3 linked regions of the Tribolium castaneum genome follow. The protein of the gene in region 2 purifies or fractionates together with the protein of the main gene of each other region. This does not show direct contact. Links are inferred from orthologs where the notes say so. Each region holds a gene or a part of one and is shown on either strand. Other genes may lie near its edges.

What was found.
Region 1: the proteins of Iswi (region 2) and E(bx) purify together in Drosophila melanogaster (affinity purification with western blotting; 7 studies listed by BioGRID, with this or other methods). This does not show direct contact. The link is inferred for Tribolium castaneum from reciprocal best matches to the Drosophila melanogaster genes Iswi and E(bx).
Region 3: the proteins of Iswi (region 2) and Chrac-16 fractionate together in Drosophila melanogaster (co-fractionation; 4 studies listed by BioGRID, with this or other methods). This does not show direct contact. The link is inferred for Tribolium castaneum from reciprocal best matches to the Drosophila melanogaster genes Iswi and Chrac-16.

Annotation. Positions count from the first base shown.
Region 1 is NC_087395.1:15,336,251-15,343,215, reverse strand, and holds the end of E(bx) (nucleosome-remodeling factor subunit NURF301), read right to left. Parts: intron 6,604-6,965; coding exon 6,408-6,603; intron 5,902-6,407; coding exon 5,619-5,901; intron 4,507-5,618; coding exon 4,317-4,506; intron 4,263-4,316; coding exon 3,841-4,262; intron 3,790-3,840; coding exon 3,594-3,789; intron 3,163-3,593; coding exon 3,078-3,162; intron 3,026-3,077; coding exon 2,820-3,025; 3' UTR 2,386-2,819; downstream 1-2,385. Other genes in the region: 4-aminobutyrate aminotransferase, mitochondrial-like, read left to right, coding at 797-1,071, 1,124-2,138, 2,184-2,302. UniProt on the Drosophila melanogaster protein: Histone-binding component of NURF (nucleosome remodeling factor), a complex which catalyzes ATP-dependent nucleosome sliding and facilitates transcription of chromatin.
Region 2 is NC_087402.1:7,784,632-7,793,016, forward strand, and holds the start of Iswi (chromatin-remodeling complex ATPase chain Iswi), read right to left. Parts: upstream 3,320-8,385; 5' UTR 3,156-3,319; coding exon 3,105-3,155; intron 3,024-3,104; coding exon 2,442-3,023; intron 2,088-2,441; coding exon 837-2,087; intron 604-836; coding exon 1-603. Other genes in the region: uncharacterized protein LOC660873, read left to right, coding at 3,594-3,596, 3,645-4,166; Rpi (ribose-5-phosphate isomerase), read right to left, coding at 4,871-5,572; phospholipase A2 inhibitor beta, read left to right, coding at 7,912-8,385.
Region 3 is NC_087399.1:7,014,373-7,020,760, reverse strand, and holds Chrac-16 (chromatin accessibility complex 16kD protein), read right to left. Parts: upstream 2,752-6,388; coding exon 2,386-2,751; downstream 1-2,385. Other genes in the region: uncharacterized protein LOC107398497, read left to right, coding at 4,224-5,039; zinc finger protein 157-like, read left to right, coding at 5,262-5,278, 5,326-5,790, 5,821-5,971. UniProt on the Drosophila melanogaster protein: Histone-like protein which promotes nucleosome sliding of ATP-dependent nucleosome remodeling complexes. Part of the chromatin-accessibility complex (CHRAC) which uses energy/ATP to increase the general accessibility of DNA in chromatin.

The DNA.
Region 1 (6,965 bases), on a different chromosome or scaffold from region 2:
TTTGAATGTAAAATTGTTTGTATTTTTAAGAGAATACCAACGCTAAAAAGGGTCGAATTTCAGTCAATTTTCTCGGAGTTTTACAGCCGTTAGGTAAGTTAGGTTTTTGAAAGTAACTTACAGGATAAAATTAAATTCTCTTAAAAATAAAGGATATTTTTAAGAGAATACCAACGCTAAAAAGGGTCGAATTTCAGTCAATTTTCTCGGAGTTTTACAACCGTTATAAGTTAGGTTTTTGAAAGTAACTTACAGGATACATTCTTCTAATCGGGCTGTAGGGGCGAAAGTCTGTTAAAATGCTATCAGTGCTTTATTTAAATCAGAAAAAAATCCTGAAAACAGAAAAAAATATTGGGTGTTCTTTGAACATTATTTCCTTTCAACATTAGGGTATTAAAGAAAAAATGAAATACTTTTGGACCAATAGTGGACCCTTAAAAATAAATTGGCTTTTGTTTTAATTTGAAATTGTCAATCGTTAACTCATCAAACTCTTAAAACGAACAAAGTAACGTCTTTTTCTTATGACGAACATGATTTCAAAAACAGATTATCGAACTTCGAATTTGCAGTGAGCAGAACATTCTCCATTAAGAATCAGTTTAAAAAACGTGTGTCCCCTAAAAATATGTGACGGCAAATGACTTGTGGGAGTAATTCTTTCCCTTAATAGAAAATGCAAAAACAGTTGACTTACGTTCACGATAAAAATGTTTTCATATCTGTTGTTCTATTATTTCACAACAGATAACGCAAATATGTTAAAACCGCTCAGTGGAAACAAAATTTGTAGGCTCTGTTAGGACTTACGTCAAAGGCGAACCGACGGGGCCCCAGCTAAAAACCGAAATTCCGGGTCCGAACTCCCGAAAACTTCACGCCGAACTCAATGCCATCCAACAGAGCGAAGCGGTTCAGTTTTTCGCCGATTACAACAAATCCCTCGGGAACTACATCGTGGATGTTGACGGGAACGTAATCCTCGACACATACAACCAAATCGCGTCAATCCCGATAGGATACAACCATCCATCCCTACTCAAAGTATTCCAAAATGAAGATAATTTGGTTAGTTCAAATAATAAAAAAATACCTAATCATAGTTTTTCAAAAAATTTAGAAAGCACTAGTCAACCGGCCAGCCCTGGGCGTATTCCCGGGCGATTACTGGCCGAAAAAGCTCCGCAGCGTATTACTCTCAGTGGCCCCCCGGCTCCCAAACGTCACCACAATGATGTGTGGCTCGTGTTCGAACGAAAACGCGTACAAAGCCATGTTTATCGCCTACCGCCGGCACCAACGAGGCGAAAACGTCGATTTCACCGACCTGGAGAAAGAGAGCTGCGTTAGTAACAAGCCACCCGGCGCCCCCGACCTGTCCCTGCTGTCCTTCCATGGGGCCTTCCACGGCCGCACTTTGGGGGCCCTCGCCACCACGCACTCCAAAGCCATCCACAAGCTCGACGTGCCCTCGTTCGACTGGCCCATCGCCCCCTTCCCACAGTACAAGTACCCCCTTGAGGAACACGCGCGCGAGAACGCGGCCGAAGACAAGAGGTGTCTCGCAGCGGTCGAGGACTTGATCCAGACTTACAATAAGAAGGGCAAACCCGTGGCGGGGATCGTCATCGAGCCCATCCAGTCGGAAGGGGGCGACAACGAGGCCTCGCCGGAATTCTTCCAACAGTTGCAGAAAATCGCCAAGAAATACGGCGCCAGTTATCTCATTGACGAAGTCCAGACAGGGTGTGGGGCCACAGGGAAGTTCTGGGCACACGAACACTTCAATCTAGAATCGCCCCCTGATATCGTCACCTTCAGCAAAAAAATGCTGACAGGGGGGTACTACCATTCGGTTGATTTGAGGCCCAAACAGCCCTACAGGATTTTCAATACCTGGATGGGGGATCCGGGGAAAATCGCCCTGTTGGAGGCGTGTCTTGAGACTATCAAAAATGAGAATCTCCTGGATAATGTTAATAAAGTCGGGGATAAGTTGAAGAAAGGCTTGTTGAGACTGGAGGCTGAATTTCCTGAAAAAATTAACTCCACCAGGGGACGTGGCACGTTTTTGGCCGTGAATGCGCACACGCCCGCTTTGCGAGACAGTATTATTGCGAAAATGAAGCAGAAAGGTTAGTGTTTGTTTGCTTGAGGACTGGGTAATGTTTCGGTTTCAGGTGTTTTGATGGGGGGCTGTGGGGATCACTCTTTGAGGCTGAGACCGTCGCTCATTTTCCAGGAACGCCACGCCGATGTGTTCCTGGAGCGCTTCAGACAGGTCCTGAGGGAAAACTAATGTAATAATTAAACAAAATAAAAATTATACTTGCGTCAGTCCTCTTCTTTCGCCTAAAACAGCGATTAGGGAATGAAACGCAGTTAATGTAAATATTATATTTACTGTTACAAGTCGATATAATACCGACCAAATATAAAAATTTCATATGTGCAAACATAAGAAGACTCTGTTAAATAACACAATATCTACAATGGCACTAACTATATCTGAATAGATGCTTTATATATCCACGTTTTATATAAATACACTACATCATGAACTCCGAAAATAATTTAAAAAACTTAAACAAGTTTATTAATTTAAATATAAATAATACAGAGCTTTTAAAAATATGTCGTAACTATTTAAATCTAACTTAAATCGCATTCGTACATATATTCACAACTTATATACAAAAAAGTCAAGATTTCAAGTTGGTCACACAATTCCTACGCTGAGATCTATTACCAATCAACTTGAAATCCCGTGTACGCACTTATTGCCTAAAATTAAAAAAGCTCATTTAAGAAACGAATCATTTGTTGGTCTCCATAAATTTATCTCTTAAGCATTTTATCTTATTCACAAAATAAGCTTCTAAAGACTCTGCACACTTGAAGAACGGAGATTCCTTTGGATTGTAGTATCGACAGTTATCGAATATTTTCGTCATGTCCCCTATAAACTCACTCAACTTTGTGTAACTTTGATCATTGATTTTATTCTCAATTTTTTGGAGGTCTGAAACAAGCGACAATCACTAAACCGCCAAAACCAAACCATAAGGACCTACCCATTGGCTCCTTAATCACCTTGTAATAATCGGGAGCTTCAGTCGGATCCACCGGCTCCATGAACGGCCAAGCGCTTTTATGAGCCTACACAAACAAAAATAATAATAAACCTTTATTAAAAAATGTAAAGAGATGAATATAAATATATTTTTTAAAGTAATACGATAAGAATAGTATGTGTTCCTATAATATTAAAAAACATAAAAATAATAATAACGAATGAAAAACAAAAATAACAAAAGAACGATTACTAAAGTAATAAATATTTTACCTTTATTTTGAATTCAAATGGTTTTCGATATTACAAATGACAACAGCATTATAAGAAACCAGGCTGTACGAAAACGTTTTACATTGTGCAGAAATCTACGGTGCACAAGTTTTCGGTTCAGGTAAAAAAGTGTTGAGGTAAACAAAATAGAATGCACTATAACTGCCATGAAAAATTTAAAATGGGAACAATTATTTCGAATTTTTTGTAAGCAGTTTTTATAACTAGAGTAAAAAGTCCTCACCTGTAATTGTTTGATTAGTTTTTTCAACGCCTCAAAGTCCTTCTGCGACAAATCCTTCATATTTGCGAAATTCACCGACGAATTCCTCTGACACCTTGGACACACATACTCGTCGATATTATCGGCTTCCGACTGCAAAATCCCCACACAGCGGCCATGGAACCAATCCTGACACCGGTCGCAACAGATATAAAACCTAAACACAAACGAATCACGCCTGAACTCAACTTCACCCAAGCCAACTCACTGTGAGTCGTCGTATGGCTGCTGACACAAACAGTACAATTTTTCCGTATCTTTGGCCTGCTTGCACTCCTCACAGACAAACTCAGTCAGCGTTCGACTACTCTCTTCGGTGATTCCCACACAATCCCCGTGGAACCAATTATTACACAAATCGCAACCGACGTAAAACTTCGTCTCGTCGTACGGCGTCCGACAAACGCAATACAATTTTTCCTTTTTAATGCCACTTCTTTGTGCCGCCGTCGATGGGACGGCATGAGTCTGTTTTTGGCCCTTCTTGTGACGAGCAGTTTTGGAGGCTTGAGGGATGACCGCCGTGGTGGCCGTCGCTGCCGATTTTCGTTTACTGCTACCAGTGCGAACCTCATCTTGTTTGGTTCGTTCGATCTTTGTCCGGGCAGCTAATTCCTCTGCTACTTCTTTCTACAATCCCAACACAATCAATATAAAATAAGATAATTTTTTTATTCAATTTACCTGAATCTCGTATTGTAATTCCTTTTCAAGTAAGGCCCGCTTTCGTAAAATGTCTTTCTTGAGAAATTCCTTCTGGCGATATAAACTGACCAATATTTTTGTTCTTTGGGTTACTTTTCGATCGGGTTCAGCCGCCTCTTTTAATTTTACGCGGGCGCGGGGCGAAATTAATTTCTCCTTGCTGGATTCACTAAAATAAAAAATAAATCACACGCGCCCTTAAATTAACAATACCAAAATAGAGCAGCAAATGCAATTAATTTTTTAAGGCTAAAAAAGACACAAAGTGTGCGACAGAGGCAACTATACTAAAAATAATTTTTCTATTTTTACATAATTAGAATTTGCGCCAACATAAAATTACTTGATATTTTTTTTATTAAAATCTTAAATATTGATAATATTGTAAGAAACGTGTAGAAGAATGATGCACTGTTATGATACGACCAAGAAACTAAAAAAATTCTTATTATTTTTTAACAAAGCGCTAATGCTACGTTTCTACTTTTTTTACGTATTTTTTAAACAAAACATTTAAGAATGACCACACGCATGACAGAGAAACCTCAAAATTTCGGTTAATATAATTAATGTTTATTGTTTTATGAATATTAGTATTTTCAATTCATTAATATTTATTACAAAAAATTGTCGAAAAAATAAAGCATCTTTAGCAAACGCAAATTTTTGTGGTTATTAGTTCAAGATTTACAGCCAAAATATGACGGTTTCCTTCTCTTTTATCAAAGTTTACTCGTTTTCAAGCAAATAATTGCCCAAAATAAGCCGTTTTCATCCAAACTGTAACTTAATTCGTTCTTTTGAGCCAGAATATAGAGCGTGTTTAGTCTGTTTAATAACAGTTTTCTCGTTTCGAAGCAAAAAAACGTCTAAAACAAGCCGTTTTCATGCAAACTATAACATAGTTCTTTTGAGACAGATTGAAACGTGTTCTGTTTGTTATATAAAAGTTAACCAATTTCTAAGCAAAGAATCGTCCAAAATAAGCCGTTTTTAGTTAAACTGTACGATAAATCGTTGTTTTGAGACAGTATAAGACGTTCTCAATCTGTTTTATAAAAGTTTCCGCGTTTCGAAGCAAAGAATCGTCCGAAATAAGCCGTTTTAATCCAAACTGTAACATTTTGAGGCAGAATAAGACTCTAAAATTAAAACAATTTACCAAACACGGCAAAACCGATCGGTTTTCTGTTTTACATATTCCGTTGTTACTGCATTTTTTTAATACTTAGTTGCTGTTGCTTGAGTAATTGATTCGTTTACTAATTAAATTGTACTTACTGTATATCGTCAATTTTTTTAATTTCGCTGTTTCTGTTGGGCCTCGAGCGCTTCGGCGTCTCCATGACCCAGTCGCTGTCGTCGTTTCTGCTGGCACTCGGGGTCCGTTTGCGCGAAACGTTAAAGCGCGTGTTACTGACCGGTAATGGAGTGTTAACTTTGGCTACTGGCGTGGGAATGTCCGGTTCTTGCTTCATTTGTTTCTCTTGATATCGTTGGAGTTGCAACAGTTTCTCTTCGATCTCGGGATTAAGGTTTTCTTGTTTAAGTGCAGTTTTAATAGCTGCATAAATTCAGACAAAAAAATATGAAAAATACAAAATAAAAGAGGGAAGTTCTGGTAATAACTAGGAGACCCAAAGCAAAACGACTTGAAAATAAAGAAGTGCAAGGTTTTTGGCAAGGAAACTCCTGGTCGCTTTTTGTAACAGTTTTATTACACAATTTTTCGGATACATTTAGGTACAGCTTACATCATCGCATGGAAATTGTTGCAACTAGATTATAATAATTTATTTACCTCAAAAGTTTCCGGTAACGTCACATGAAATAAGCGAAAACGAACAAATGTATAAAAATCAGTCTTTTTTAGGGAACAAAAACACGAAAATATCACAGAAATAAAATACGCACAATAGGGAAACTTTTGATCGAGTAGGAACCCTTGCTCTTCTAAATACTGTTCGATTGTTTAAGTTAATTAAAACCGATTGACGAAGTCGTTTTGCAATGGGTAAGTGGTACAATTAGGATTGTACACAATTACAGATGGTTGATATAGCAACATACTTTGTTGTATATAGTCAGGCGTGACGACAAACTGCTTATTCTGATCACTAGAAGCGGTTTGTTGCTGCTGTGGCGACGTTGTGACACTCTGATTAGACTCCATATTCGCTTTCATGGCTTGAAGCAGAGCAGAAGTTTGCGACTGCTGCCCATTGACAAGCACTTGACGACCCGAAGTTGTCACATTTTCGTTCGTCTGGAAGGATTGTCAAGACTTAGTGAGAAAAATTTCCACCGACCGTGCACTATACTTTTGTAGGACCATAAAGTAAACAAAAAGCTGTTTCATCATCAGTCTTTTATTCCAACACGTGTTAGTACAAACAAATGATGTGAAGCCATGAACAAAGCCGCCTCACACCCACCACAAAAACAAGAATAAGTTACATGCTTCTCACACTTTAATCTCTTCTTAAATTAACACATGCAAAAGCACCGTCGAAAAAATGTAGACGAAAGAGTAAAACAAAGACGCACTTACATATTAATAAAACATCAATCAAAGGCCAGACCATGCGACAACAAGGTTGGTTAAAATTGATCTCAAGTCAAAAGTAC
Region 2 (8,385 bases):
CTCCATCACTTCTTCGGGAGTTTTCCCTTCAACTTCCTTGGCGATGTTTTCAATATCATCCCTTCCATATTTCTCGTTCGCTTTGATAAACTGGTTAAAGTCACGCTTGCTCCAATTGGTGAAACCTTGGGTGAGCAAGGCTTCTTTCTCCTGCTGTTCCTCCTCAGTCAACATCTCAGACTCGTCAATCTTCCGCTGTTCCTCTCGCTGTTGCTTGGCGGCCTCCGGCCCCAACTCCAAATTTTTGGGGACTTTGTAACCCAAAGTTTTGCGATAGTAGTAAATTTCTTGGTCAAGAAGCTCGAAAAGTCTGGGAGGGAAAAACTGGAAATCTTGTACGATAGGTTGTTTAGGAGGACGTGGTGCTTTCGGCGCTTTGGGCTCAGAAACACGTAAAGCTTCCCTGAAGTAGGCATCGACGGCATAATTGGCCTTTCTTTCACGCTTCGGAGGCTCGATCCAGGTGTTCAAACCGATGTTTTTCTGCTTTTCGCGATAATCCTCGCCTTCGAACTTGTAAACGGACTCTGTTGGCGTGTCCACAGTGAAGTTGCGCAAGGATGACTCGCCGAGAGCTTCGAGTTTTTGGGCCAGTTCCGCTGTCTAATTTTTTTTTATTAGATTAATGTTATAGTCAGGGAGGAGCACAAATAACTAGAGGATTCGAAACGATATACTAATTTAAACCTCCTCGATAGTTCAATAAATTAAAAAAATGGTTGTATTTAAATAACTGTGAATACAACGCAAATAAAAAAAAGTAGATTAGATCTCGTTTCGTCTCCTACGTAGTTAGGAGGTGAACTTTGTTAGTACTGGGAAATTAAGTATTTTACCTTTGCTTCGCCTTTTTGTAAGATAGTGTCGATGTCTTCATCGGTGATTTCCGAGTCTTTCGATGCGAAGACATGATTGGCCCCGTGCCGGATCATGTTCAACATCTCGTCTTTGTTCAAAGACTGCGATTTGTTGTCGATTAGACGCCCTTGTTGTATCACTAACTTGTCTAGCCTCAGCTTGACTTCGGCCCGTTCTACGATTTTTTCCTCGACTGTATTTTCGGTGATAAGTCTGAACACACGAACTTGTTTCTTTTGGCCGATCCTGTGCGCTCTGTCCATGGCTTGGAGGTCCATTTGCGGGTTCCAATCCGAATCGTAGATGATGACAACGTCTGCTGTTGCTAAATTAATACCCAAACCTCCGGCTCTCGTCGACAACATAAAAATAAATTTTGAGCTATTTGGCTCATTATATTCGTTGATTTGGCGTTGCCGGTCCTCGTGCGGCGTCTGTCCGTCCAATCTACAATAATTGTACTGTCTCCAGTGGCAGTAATCCTCCAAAATGTCCAACATTCGTGTCATTTGTGAAAAAATCAAAACCCTCGAGTCCTGCTCTTTTAATTTGGGCAGAAGCTTGTCCAAAAGCACCATTTTCCCGCAATTGTAGACTAAATGTTCGTCGGTGGTGTACGGGGGCCCAGGCTCAGCCCCATCGAACAAATAAGGGTGGTTTGAACACTTACGCAATTGCATGAGAATGTTCTGTAGTCTCATTTTTTCTACTTTACCGGCCCCGTTTACCACATCAATATCCTTCATCAGGACTTTAGTATACCACTCGCGCTGCATTTTGCTCAAACCGACGTAAACTTTGAGTTCTTTTTTCGGTTTTAATTTTTTCTCGACCTCGGATTTGAGACGTCTCAATAGAAACGGCTTCAAGACAGCGTGCAAGCGTTCGACTAACTGGTTATCACCCAAACACTGGTTTGTGTTAAACCAAGCGTCGAAATCATCAGCAGAGTTAAAAACATCAGGGAGTAAAAAGTTAAGGAGGGCCCAAAGTTCGTGTAAATTATTTTGTAAGGGGGTACCGGTGAGTAAGAGACGATTTGTTGTTTTAAACTCACGGAGAATCTCCGATAATTTCGATTTCTCGTTTTTAATACGATGAGCTTCGTCTATTACCATGTAGCGCCAGTTGAATTTCTTAAAAACTGATTTTTCTTTGATAACCATTTCGTACGAAGTCACACAGACGTCCCAATCGCCTGGCATCATCACGTCCCGAATGAAAGCATTCTAAAAAAATAATTAACGAAACACAATTAGAATTAAAGGATCCATTCTATCAAAGCGGGGTTGTTATGATGACTAAGGTTGAAAAACATCTTAAATTCATAGAAAAATATAAAGATGCTTCAACTTTTTCCAACCATATTCTCTCTTCTAATCATTTTTGTACTGACAGTGATAAGGAAGAGGCCTTAACCTTAACCCCCTGTTACCAGCCCCCTTTTACGCCACTGATGAAGAATGTAATCGCGAAAGCGCTCTGTCCTATCACTCTTTTTGGATATTATAAATTTTTACGTAGGTTGGACTTTGTGTTTTCCAACCTTAGTCAAAACACAATTAAACTAAACCAGGTCTTACCCTGGCCTCTTGGTCCCCAATGAGACACACAGCGCGGATGCTGGGACACCACTTCTTGAATTCGTTCATCCAATTGGCTAGAGTCGACTTGGGGACAATCACAATGTGAGGAGACGGCGTGTTTTTATAATGTTTCATGAAACCTAGCAAGGAAATGGTCTGGAGCGTCTTCCCGAGCCCCATTTCGTCGGCCAAGATCCCATTGATCCCGTTTTCGTACAAAGACACCATCCAGTTCAGCCCCCGGATTTGGTAGTCCCTCATTTCCCCGTTCTTGATGAAAGGCGGCGAGGCTTCGAACCGAATCGTCGGTTTGGCCTTGGCATTGCTTTCGGCCAGCAGTTCTTCATCTTCTTCCTGCTCGGTCTTGCGGTGGCGGTGGTCCGCCACTGGGTCTTCCTTGATTTTCTTGGGACGGCCCGATTTCGGTTTCGAAGGCGTTTTGTTTTGGTTCATAAAGTGGGAGAAAATCTCGGTTTGTTTGAGCAGGTAATCGAAACGGCGGCTGCGGTCCGTTTCGAGTTTGGTCTCGAAGTCTTCGCCCTTCCCACGCGACGAGAGGGTGTCCGAAGACGAGGCATTCTTCAATTTCATAAATAAAGCAGAGTCAATGACCCGTTTTTACTTTTACTATTGTGGTTGTTTTAACAACAAGGCTCTTACCGAATTCTCACCAGTGTCAGCGGTTTCACCGCCTTCTTCCACTTTGGACATGGTGCTGGGTGCGCGAAATTCTTAGCTAAAACTACGGAATGTTGGTTTTTAACGACGATAATTTGGAAAAATGCCGTTCATTTAATGATTCGGAAGCGATACGTAGCGGGAAACACTACGAACTAGTCGCAGGACGGCCGCATCTGGGGGCAAATGCGTCAAACTGGTGAAACACCAACAATCCCTACACACTTTGAGCCCATTTTCGGGCGAAAATACAACAATAATTGCATGCTGCACCCCACAACAACGAGAGAATTTTATGATGTGGACAAATTTTTAAAAGACAATTTTTCATAAGGCGGTGAAAGCGTTTTAGACGGTGGCCTTGTAAATGTTGGTAGTCCCGACTGTCAGATTGTTTAAAACGCCGGATGTTTGGTTGTGTTATCTCAACATCAACAGTTTTGGAATAAAAACATAAAACCGTTCCTGATAATGGTAATTGACTATTTTCAATAAGTACTTAGGCGTTAGTATTGATTTTAGACGACGTCCCCTTCCTTTGTTTTAAAAAAGAATCTCTCCTCAGTTCGTAAGAAGATGGCAGGCTCCAAATTTGAGTTGACTGAAGAGCAGAAGAACGATATTAAAGAGGCGTTCGATTTGTTTGATAATGAAGGCTCTGGGAAGATCGACGCCAAAGACCTGAAGGTGGCAATTAGAGCGTTGGGATTTGAGCCAAAGAAGGAAGAAATCAAGAAAATGATTGCTGATATTGATACACAGGGAACTGGAAAACTGTCTTTTGATGATTTCTTGCAATTGATGACCATGAAAATGGCCGAAAAGGATTCGAAAGAGGAGATCATGAAGGCGTTTCGCTTGTTTGACGATGACGAGACCGGAAAAATCAGTTTTAAGAACCTGAAAAGAGTGGCTAAAGAACTAGGAGAGAATCTCACAGATGAAGAATTGCAAGAAATGATTGATGAAGCAGACAGGGATGGAGATGGTGAAATCAATCAGGAAGAATTCTTGCGAATTATGAAGAAAACCAGTTTGTACTAAGTTGGAAACATACCAGGTGATTTCGTAAAATGCTAAAATGACAGCCTTACAAGAATTAAATGCACAGTTTCCTGTCCTATTCGCAATTTAATTTGTTTAAAATGTATTTGGTTTTGCATTAAATTGTAAGGCTAGTCTAGTCGTCTTGCGTGAATCACCCTGTACCAATTAATTGTTTGGAAACGTCTAGTCACCGTTGCACAAATTGTCAGTATTGTAAGTAGTCTAATATTTGTAACTTCTTAACTCAGTCTTAATCATTTTCCAAATTTTCATGCATTATTTTTAAGAAAAACTCGTATATATTTCTACTAAACCATCAAAAACAACGTTGAATTTGACTGTGATTTTTAACCCTTTTTTTCTAACTCAGATTTTCCTAAAAACATCAATTTTAAAATCGACTCATTTTTCTAAAATAAATTGTTTTTAGAAAAACCTGTCTGAGAAAAAAAGGGTTAAAAATAAAATTCAAGTTGTTTTTGATGTTTTAGTAGAAATACGGGTTTTTGTTAAAAATAAAGCGTAGAAACATGACAAAGATGAGTGGGCAAATAATCTGAGTTAAAAGGTTACACATGTTAGACCACCATTGTAAAATGTGTGTTGCACGAGATGCTTTATTTAATTTTGAAAATACAACATATAAAAATATAAAATATATATTTTTAAATAACATTCCTTCAAATAAATCAATGGATGAATTAAATTTGTTCTTTGACTGACCCATCGGCCAACCCAAAATAGGCCTTCTTGGCCATGTTAACAAATAGTCCCGTCTCCACAACTCCCGGAATGAGATTCAATTTGGTGTTGATTGTGTCCCATTTATAATCCTGGAAGTTTTTCCAATCCAGGATAAAATTCCCATTATCGGTGACCACAGGTCCAGCTTTGGCTTTAGCCATTCTGAGCTCAACTGTCCCTCCCAGTTGGTTTTCAATTTGCGTTTTAATGGGGAGATAGGCCATCGGAACAACTTCAATCGGAATCCCCTTTTTGTATTGTTCCCCCAGCTTTTGTGAATTTTTGGTATAATCCGCTATAATAATTAACTCCTTGGCGCAGCTAGCAACAATCTTCTCCTGCAATAAGCATCCCCCACCTCCTTTAATCAATGTCAAGGTGGAATCAACTTCATCGGCACCATCAATGCAAACATCCAATCTTGGATGTATCTCTAGGTCGGTTAGGTGCAGCCTGTGCTGGATGATCAATTGCCTGGCTTGAAAGGACGTTGGGACACACTGTACATTTAATTTTTCGTTTTTCACACGTTCGGCTAACCTCTCAACGGCGTAAACAACGGTGGAGCCGCTGCCGACACCCACAATGGAATTGTTTTGCACGTGGAGGTCCACAGCTTTGTAGGCCGCCAGTTTTTTAGCACTTTCGAGGGATGCCATCGTGACGAATGATCTCCTTAAAAGTTGAAATAAATTCATGGATTTTAAGATAAATTATTCAACTTACGTTTCGCAACGTGCTCATGCGCCTCTGCAGCTTCCTTTTGTGGCTCTATTTTCAAAGTTGCGAGCTGGAAACCGGATAAATTGCACGCTTGTGGGAATAATACGTAACAATTTAATTACTTATTCAACGTAAACAACTATTACCAGTGTCGTTTTCCCCATGTAATTATTTATTACTCCGTTGGTCATCATTTTTTAACGAATGAGAGTGATTAGTGATTTCTGATTTCATTGAGAATGATTTAAATTTCATTAAATCTACTCGTATCATTAGTTAGGTAGGAGTACACGAGTTATTAATATAGCATCATTTTCAAAATGAAAAGAAAATAAAATATATAATTTTTTTTTCAAAAAGCCTTAACTTCTTCACTTTTAAATACCTTGCTACCTTAAGTTTTAGAGTTGTCTTCCTAGGGGTGTTTTCAAATAAAAAAAAATGGGGGGTACAATAGAGTTATCAATTTTTGAAGGGGATTAAAGCATTTGAAAAAGGTAAGTATAACACTTACGTATTCTGAGGCCAGCTTTTTTTGGTAATTTAAAAAAAAATTGTAAAATATTTGAAATAATATTAAAAAACGCAAAAAATACTACGTACTACATATTTTTCCGATTCATTTCGGCGATTTTTCGGTTTATTCTTTGGCAGACTGGTGTTTCTAGACAAAAAATGTGCCGACCAAAAAAACGCATAAGCGGCAAAGTAATTTCATTTTGGATTCAATTTACTAGTTTTTCAGCTTAGTTTAGCCAAATTTCGAGAAGAACGAACTGCCTTTTCATCTTAAAAACGTGTTTAAATTAAATTAAAAATGTAAACAGTGCTCTAATATTATGAAATATTGTAACTCGGCAAAAAATATTGGTTTCATAATTTTTACTGTGAGGTGAGATGCGGATAATACTTGACCTGGTATTTAATTTAATTTCAAATGCATCATCGTCAAAAAACTATTGTTTGCTAATGTTTTTTCACGTGTCCGGAAAATTTTCGAACGTGCCATAAAGGTGCACCTTAACTGGTTTAAATAACACCACTTATCACAATGATACTAGTATGGATATCACGCTCTTTTTGATGATTACAGGTATTTTAATTAAAACTTGATAGTTGCACTTACAGTTGGCTCACTTACTGATTTTTTTATTGATAATATACCTACTTGTAGTCGAACCAAATCAGTAAATAAATACAAAAGTATTTTATTAAAGTAGTTGAAAGTATTCTAACAACTCTTATTTCCTGAAAAAAACGGAAGTAGTGAGATGAATTAACAACATAAATTGAAAAATCTAATAGTTCATTATTTATTATATTACTTCACATTTTTTTTACTTTTTTATTTGATTGTGCATGTCTTTAATAAATATATCGGTTAAATATGATTTCAAGCGTGTAAACCTGGCGTTTTTTAATATTTGAAACTTTTTAACAAACATTGGTTCAAATAACTATTTACCAATCTGAAAATCTGAGACGCTTTTCTGCAATTCCGCCTTTTATCTCCAGCTCTTCTAATTGGATGGGGATATTAACATGAACACCGTATCAGCAAAGCTCTATATTTGGATGCAAACTGGTGAACAGTTATTTCTCTAGCTGATTATTGGGAGCAAGCAATTAGACTTCAGCTTTAAAAATTTTAGAACCGACACTTAAACTGAATGACGTGTAACACAATCGTGCTTTGCATCAAAATTTTTCGACCAGACTTGTGTAAAATATGCATGTTTGTTCGAACGTAGTGTTTCCTGCAGCTCGCCTTTTAATCTAAGAAAAATGCATCAGGAGATTTATCTTTATCTTGCGAAAGTAATTTTGCCAAGCTTCTGAAAGTTGTGTGCGGGTAAACTAATGGAAGGTGCGAGACCATTTTGAAATATTTAGTTGGTAGCGTCTAAACGTCGGAGTTATTTAATTATTGCCGGTTCTGGCTAAATGACAAAATTAGGTTTGTGAAGGAAGGACGTCGTTATACCCATATTGTTGCCTATCACGCTACAATTTAAAAGTTTTATTCGGCTTTGTTGCAGTAAAATTTCTACGAAGTAATCATCACACATATTTGAATTCAAAGTTCATTGTAATTCTGATTACTGGAATTTAAATCATGACCTAATTTACAAATAAAATAAACGCTCTCATTGGAAAACAATATCAATGAGAATAATGCAAAAACATCAAGCTTAGTCGGGTTGTGTTCTTTCCAAATACAGGTTTGTGCCCACATTTCGCCCAGTTATCACATTAACATAATTCTGTTTCAGCAATGAAGCATCCGCTCTTGTTGTGCGTCCTTGGAGCGGTGATAAGCACTGTGTTCTCTGCCGAACCACCGGCGTGTGACTACGAACACGACATTAGGACCTATTTCTGCAAACGCATCCGAGACGTGTTTCCCAACATTTTCTACGGAAACTACCACCTGCAATGTGAGCAGTGCAACATCCGGATTTTTACCAACAAGACCTTCCCTTTCTCCAACAGTCTAGTCTCATTCAACGTTTCCGAAAGTGCAATCAGAGTAATCACTTCTAGGGCCTTCTCCTCCTTATCAAACATACAATACCTTTATTTACAAAACAACATTATCGAAGACATTGAGCCGGGGGCTTTCGCCGGTCTCCGCCAAGTCTACGAAGTCCATTTAGAAAATAACAATCTGGGGAAAATCGTGCCGGGGTTTTTGGACGATTTGGAAGCGAACACCGTTGATTTGAAGAACAACAAGATCAAGCACTTG
Region 3 (6,388 bases), on a different chromosome or scaffold from region 2:
TCATTTAAACTGCAACTGTCTGTATATCTCAGACTTGCATTTTCGCGCTTTTTCACACTTATCACTCGGGGTCAAAGACACTTAATGCGCCGTAATTTCGTCAAAAACACGATAATTAAGTAATAATACCTCTAAAACGGATCACTAATTACAATTATTACTGTAACCTACGTGCAACACGACAATGTCAAATAACTTGGCAAACTGACTTTGCGGGTTAATTTTATTTTTACGATCAAACATTTTACGTCAATTTTGCATCCGAATTTTTATAAATAGCTGCGCGGAAACGCCGAAAAATGACAATTTCCAAACAATTTCTCAGCAATTAAGCGATACCGCGTGTCGTAGGCCTTGAAATAAACAATTGACAACGATTAAGTAAAATCAAGGAGGCTCTTCAGTTTTGTGTCAACGCACTCGTTTGTTTACGAGCGGTGTTTTTTTCACAGCCGCCCGAGACGGAAAACTTTGCACCGGATTGATTTTTGCGTAAAAACAACCGCAAGTGTTTTCCTATCCTGATTCAATCTGACAGAAATAGTTTGCAAATGTTTCACATTTCAAACGCGTCTTGACCCCAATCTAATCGGTTAATTACCTTCTTATCCGATAGATACGTAAAACAAAAGATTAAGAAATGGATCAAGTCGGCTGTGCATGAAATATTCATTTGTTCGAAATCAAAGTCTCCCGGATTTCGCCATCGCGTCGCAATGTCAAGGAAATCGGGTCACATCGATTTTCGCCGCCATCCTCGATCCGTTTCGCGTCAAAAGTTACTTCAATTGTGAGCTATTGTTGTAAACAGGAGCACAAAAGACTGATTTATTAATTTACTAACCGCCAACTGAAAATCGTCCAACATCATGTAGCCGCCCCCGATAACCGCCGACACTGGCATCAAATGGGTAAAAACAGCACTGGACGGAAAAAAATGGGAGAAAAATTCACTTTTTACGGAGGTTGGACACGAACATGTGTCGTCTGATACGAGAGACTGGGGCCACTTCTAAATACTCTTTTGTGTTATCATTTACGGAGGCAGTGGCGTAGAAGAGGGGGTAAAGTGTAGTTATTGTGCAAAGAATCTTTATCGCTATGTTGGTTTAATCAAAGATTAGAAGGGATTTGAACTAAAAGTGTGATTTGAAGTGGATAAGAGGGTCATCTTGGCTTGAATTTTGGCGCCAGTTTTATGAAAAAGGAGCGCCGCTGGTTCAGACTCGTCCGGGTCTGTTAACTTCCTTCAGTGATAACGAAACATCTTAATCATCACGAGCTCTTAACAAAAAAAAACATTGAGACCGTTTCCTTAAACGTCGGTGATAAGGAGACCCAAATCTGGATCAATTCTCTTATCTGCTCTTCAAACAATCGCCGGTTATGTCACAATCAAGGATCGAGTGGGCCTATACTATCGAAATAAACTGTATATCCATGAAATAAGCCCACAATCCTCAAGAAAAAAGCTCACGGAAAAATAAACGTGGCTAGATTTATAAATTTATAAAATTATTCGGATAACAATAAAAATATTTAGGATGAGTTTATACAGTCCTATTCAAGAGTAGGAATTAGGATATCCAAAAGGGTAACAAGCAATTTTTTTAGACAAAAATAACTTAATTTTATTTGTTGTATTTTTTTTGTTTTACTTATAAATTTAAAATAAAAGTTTTATTCAATAGCTTAACCTTCACCATTCTAAAATTTTTTGAAGCCCCCCCCCCAATTTTTGGATCCGCCAGTGTGCCGCCAACTATCTTATTAAAAGTGTACAACGTAGCGTTTGGGATAAAGTAAGATTTTTTTGTTAATGTAAAATATTTATAGTGTATTTTTTGAGTAACTCTTAAAGATACCGTAAAATGAAGTTATTGAAGTAGTAGTGAACTTCTTTCTTTCTTGAGGTATGTGAGTATTTTCTGTGTGAGCTTTTTTCCATGTGAGTTTTTATCCGTCTGGGCTTTTTTCAGTGTGGTTTTCTTTTCATGTGGGTTTTTTTCACAATACATTTCTTAACTTGTGAGCTTTTTTCCGTGTACCTAGGTTTTTTCATGTGAATTTTTTCGACGTGGGGTTTATTCTTTGTGGGCATTATTCTGTATGGGTTTATTTCTTGTAGGCATTTTAAGGTCATAGTGGGCTAGACTTTAGGGTTTTTTGTGTCAGTGGTGCCACCACAATAAATAAATAAAGGGCTAGCAGGTGTAACTTCCGCAGCGCTGCCCTTGAAAGTCCGAATCGATAACCGTCCGGGGAAATTCCACCCCTGTATTTGCAAGAATAGGGGAGGAGGAGAGTCGTTACACGCAAGCAGCCACGTGCCAGTTAATCTTGAACTTGGAAAAAAAATCAAACAAAAATTGAAAAATCAAAAATTTATTCACTATTCGAGTTGCTGCTGGATTCCTCATCGCTTGAAATCTCTTGGTGATTTTCGGCGCCGTTCAGTTGGCCCTCTTGCATTTTCTTGTACTCAGCATACGTGATTTTCTTCGGCATGATATCTTGCAAGAACTCGTATTTCTCATCCCGATTGACCACTTCTGACAAGTGTTTGTAATCAAGTTTTTTACCCGTGGCGGATAACTTATAGCCCTCCTGGGCCAACATTTTAATGAAGAGTTCGGCGGCTTTCGTCATCATTAACGACGACTCCCGACTGATATTTTCCGCTTCTGAAGAACTCTTCATTATGGTGTTTATCCGGACGATGGGCAAGGCCCCCCATGGCTTGGACGACATGACACTGAAATGACGTCACACAATGGCCGTCATCTGTCTATTAACGCAGTCACGTGACATTGCCCCCTTTGCCAAAAATCCGCGTACGCCACTGCCTCGTCCCAAAATACCGAATTCACGAATAAATGAGTATTTTCGTCGCGACTTGCTCCCAAAATATCACCCCGCCCACTGGCCCACTTTGCGCAAAAACAAACAGTGGAAAACTCACCAAAAAATCGACGTTTTCCCCGAAAACGATGCTAAAAAACGGCAACCATCGCAACCCTCTCGAAATTTTTTCACAGCACTCTGGATCGGGAAGGAAAATGACAGCAGCACTGCACACTAGACCGGAATTTACTCGCGGTTTTTTCGCGATTTCGATTGGGAAAATGAGTCGTTTGCACGGTGTATCGATTGGTTTTGTTGCAAAAATTCGTATTCGACGATGGGGTAACAAAGCGTGAAGCTAATCGACGCGATTCGAGAAAACTGCACAAGACGTCACTGGACAAAACACGCACTGGTGGGGGGTGGAACAGAGGCTACCAAAATGTTGACAAGTGACGTCATTGTCTATTTATTTATTTACTCGGTGTAAATTATTCGGCTTTTTTGTGATTTATTTTTAAGTACGCGAGGTCGGGCTATATGTGGAAATTTTGGTCGGTTGGGGGAGGCGGCTGGGAAAACAACTGCCGTAATTGACAAACGACAGATATGTGGTGACTTGATTGTTATTTATGTGTTGTTGAAAGACTGATTTGTTATCTGTCAAAAACGCAACATGGAAAGTAACAATTTTTGAATACTTTATTAAAGGAAACAATATATCCACGTGTCAACATAAGGCTTCAACACCTTTTTAATAAAAAACATGACTTTATCGGGGTTTAATTGGTGCGTTTTTGGCAATAAATTTATCACCACATGATACTTAATTTAAAATTTTTCTAAAAAATTTGAAATAGAATTCAAGTCTTTAAAAATTAAAATAATAAAAAAATTCTTATTAGACGTTACTTATCACGATATAAAAACTTGAAAATTTTGCAATTAACGAATAAACTAACTGATAATAAACACTTAAACAATTTTTTTTGTAAAAAAAATTGAATGACCTAATTGAGCTGTTCAGCAAAAAATTCGTTTATGATTATGAAATATACATAATTACATAATTACAAAATACTGAAAGATTATTAATTCAGTGATACAGATAAGAGGAGATACAAGGATCCGTTATTCCAAGTGACACTAGCACAATTTTATGGAACGTACCCTAATATTTTACGAAAAAATTGTGCAAAAACCACCACAGATGCACGTAATTAATATATTACGACCATGATTAAATTAATTATTATTAATCCTCGGCCTAAATTGGTTGAAATTATTATTAATTTATGATTTTATTGTGACAGTTGTCAACAGTGCACTTAACCTCTCTTTCGCATTTTTGGCAAAAACCTGTTGAAATCTATGAAAAAATGAAAGATAATTACTTTTGCTCGGTTTCAAACTGCCATACCAACAGCCGAACCCACCCCTTACTATCTTTCCACCCATTTCCCCCCAAAGACACGACTTACCTCTCCGTAAGCACCCTCGACGCCGGTGGTCCCAAAAAACTGATGTGCATCCGCAAGCTATGGGAGGAAATCCTCCTCATGAGAACCCCAGCGCGTTGCGAGCGCGTCTGTTCCATGCATTTCCAGAAGACCGACTACTACGGAGAGACCACAGTCCCAGACACCCTCAATGCGAGGGCGATCCCCACCTTGAACCTGCCCCAAGCCCCCATCACCGTCCGCGAGTGCGACGTGCGCTCGTGCCACAACCAGGACAACGTCCACAAAAACAAGCACTTCTTCACGCTGGAGCGCAACGAGACGAACTGGACACGTTTCCACGCTTGGAAGAGGTTCACCAGGGCTTGCAGCGACAACCAGGTGACGGTGTGCTCGGACCACTTCATACTGGGCTTCCCGGTGGACGATCCGCTGAACCCGGACCACGTCCCCAGCCGCAATTTGGACCTCCAGATCGAGGAGGTCGACGTGAGTGTTTTTGGGGGCAGTGTGAGTGTGGGGGACTGCACGAGGGAGGACCCCCTCAAGTTGACCGGACCCGAGTACGTAGGCGTTGATCCGGACGATATACAAAACGCGGGGGAACTACCGGAGAATATTTTCGAGGAGTGCATCAAGGTGGAGCCGCTGGACTTGGACGAGCACTCGGTGTTTGAGCTGGGGGAGATTAAAGTCGAACCAAACGACCAAATCGACCATTCTTATTGTAAATAGTTATTAATTAAAGTTATTTTGAATTAGTTGTGAGTCGGTAAAAAAGATTCCTTTGTGTTACCGACCGTCTATTCACACAAGATTGTAAATATTTAATAAAATCAATGAAACTGTATAAAACGCAACTTGAATAAACGTTAAGTAGAAGCCGGTCGTTTTGCTGAACCCTCCTTATGGGGCCTTCGGCCCCCTAAACTCATGTTTATTTGACATAACCTTAGAATGTCAGTCCCATCCAAGTAACTCTTTTAGTTGCTTATCAGTGCTTTTAGGGCCCTTTGTCAAGTCTCGCCGAGGCAGCAACAGTTCACGTCATGAACCACATCAAGAATCACCCGTTTGAGTGCGAACTCTGCCCCAAAAAGTTCAAACGGAGGAATTGGCTAAAGATGCATGTGAGAAGTCACGACAAAAGCCACAGTTTCGAGTGCCTCTTGTGCGAGAAGCGGTTCAAGTTCAAGCACCAGTTGCAGAAACATGTCTTTTTGGTGCACAGCAATGAGAGGCCGTTTTGTTGCTGCGTGTGTGGCAAGGATTTCAAATTGAAGCAAACGCTGCAGAACCATGAGAAGGTCCATTGCGATGAAAAAGAGTTCGAGTGTAGTGTTTGCCATAAAGAGTTCAAATTAAAGCTCCACCTGAGGAACCACATGAAAATGCACAGTGATATCAAGCCCCACGAGTGTGGCCTCTGCGATAAGACTTTCAAATTTAAGCAGCAGTTGCAGAATCATCTGCTAGTTCATTCGGGGTATAAACAGTTTGAGTGTGAATTTTGCAGCAAGAGTTTCACGTTTAAGCAACAGTTGAATGTTCATTTGAAAATTCATCTCAATGTGAAGGACTTTGATTGCGACGAATGTGAGAAGGGGTTCAGAACGAAGCAGCAGTTGCAGGTGCACCGCAGTAAAGTGCACAAGGGATCTGAATAATTATTTACATTTCTGTCTTTTAATTTTTTACAAAATATATTGTTTTTTTGTTACACATTAATGTGTCTTCTTTGTTACGAAAACATTATTTAGTTTAGGCACAGGCTGAATGAGTCTAGAAAATTTTATACAGTATTAGGATCTTACATTAATTTTTTTCGGATTTATTTTGCTACGCCTCTGGTGCGTCTGTACAAGTCGTCTGTACCCATCATTTATGTTATCAATTATCATTAACATTTTTATCTCATATGAGTCATCTGACCCAGATCAATTATGAAATAAAAGTTTATCTCTTCATTTCTTGTTTTTCATTATTCCCTCAGTGAAGTAAGATGAATTTTCGGGTAGTTGTCACACTAGTGATGGGGCTTTGCCTCGTTTGTGGTCACCCCAAGTCAGAAATAATCAATTCGA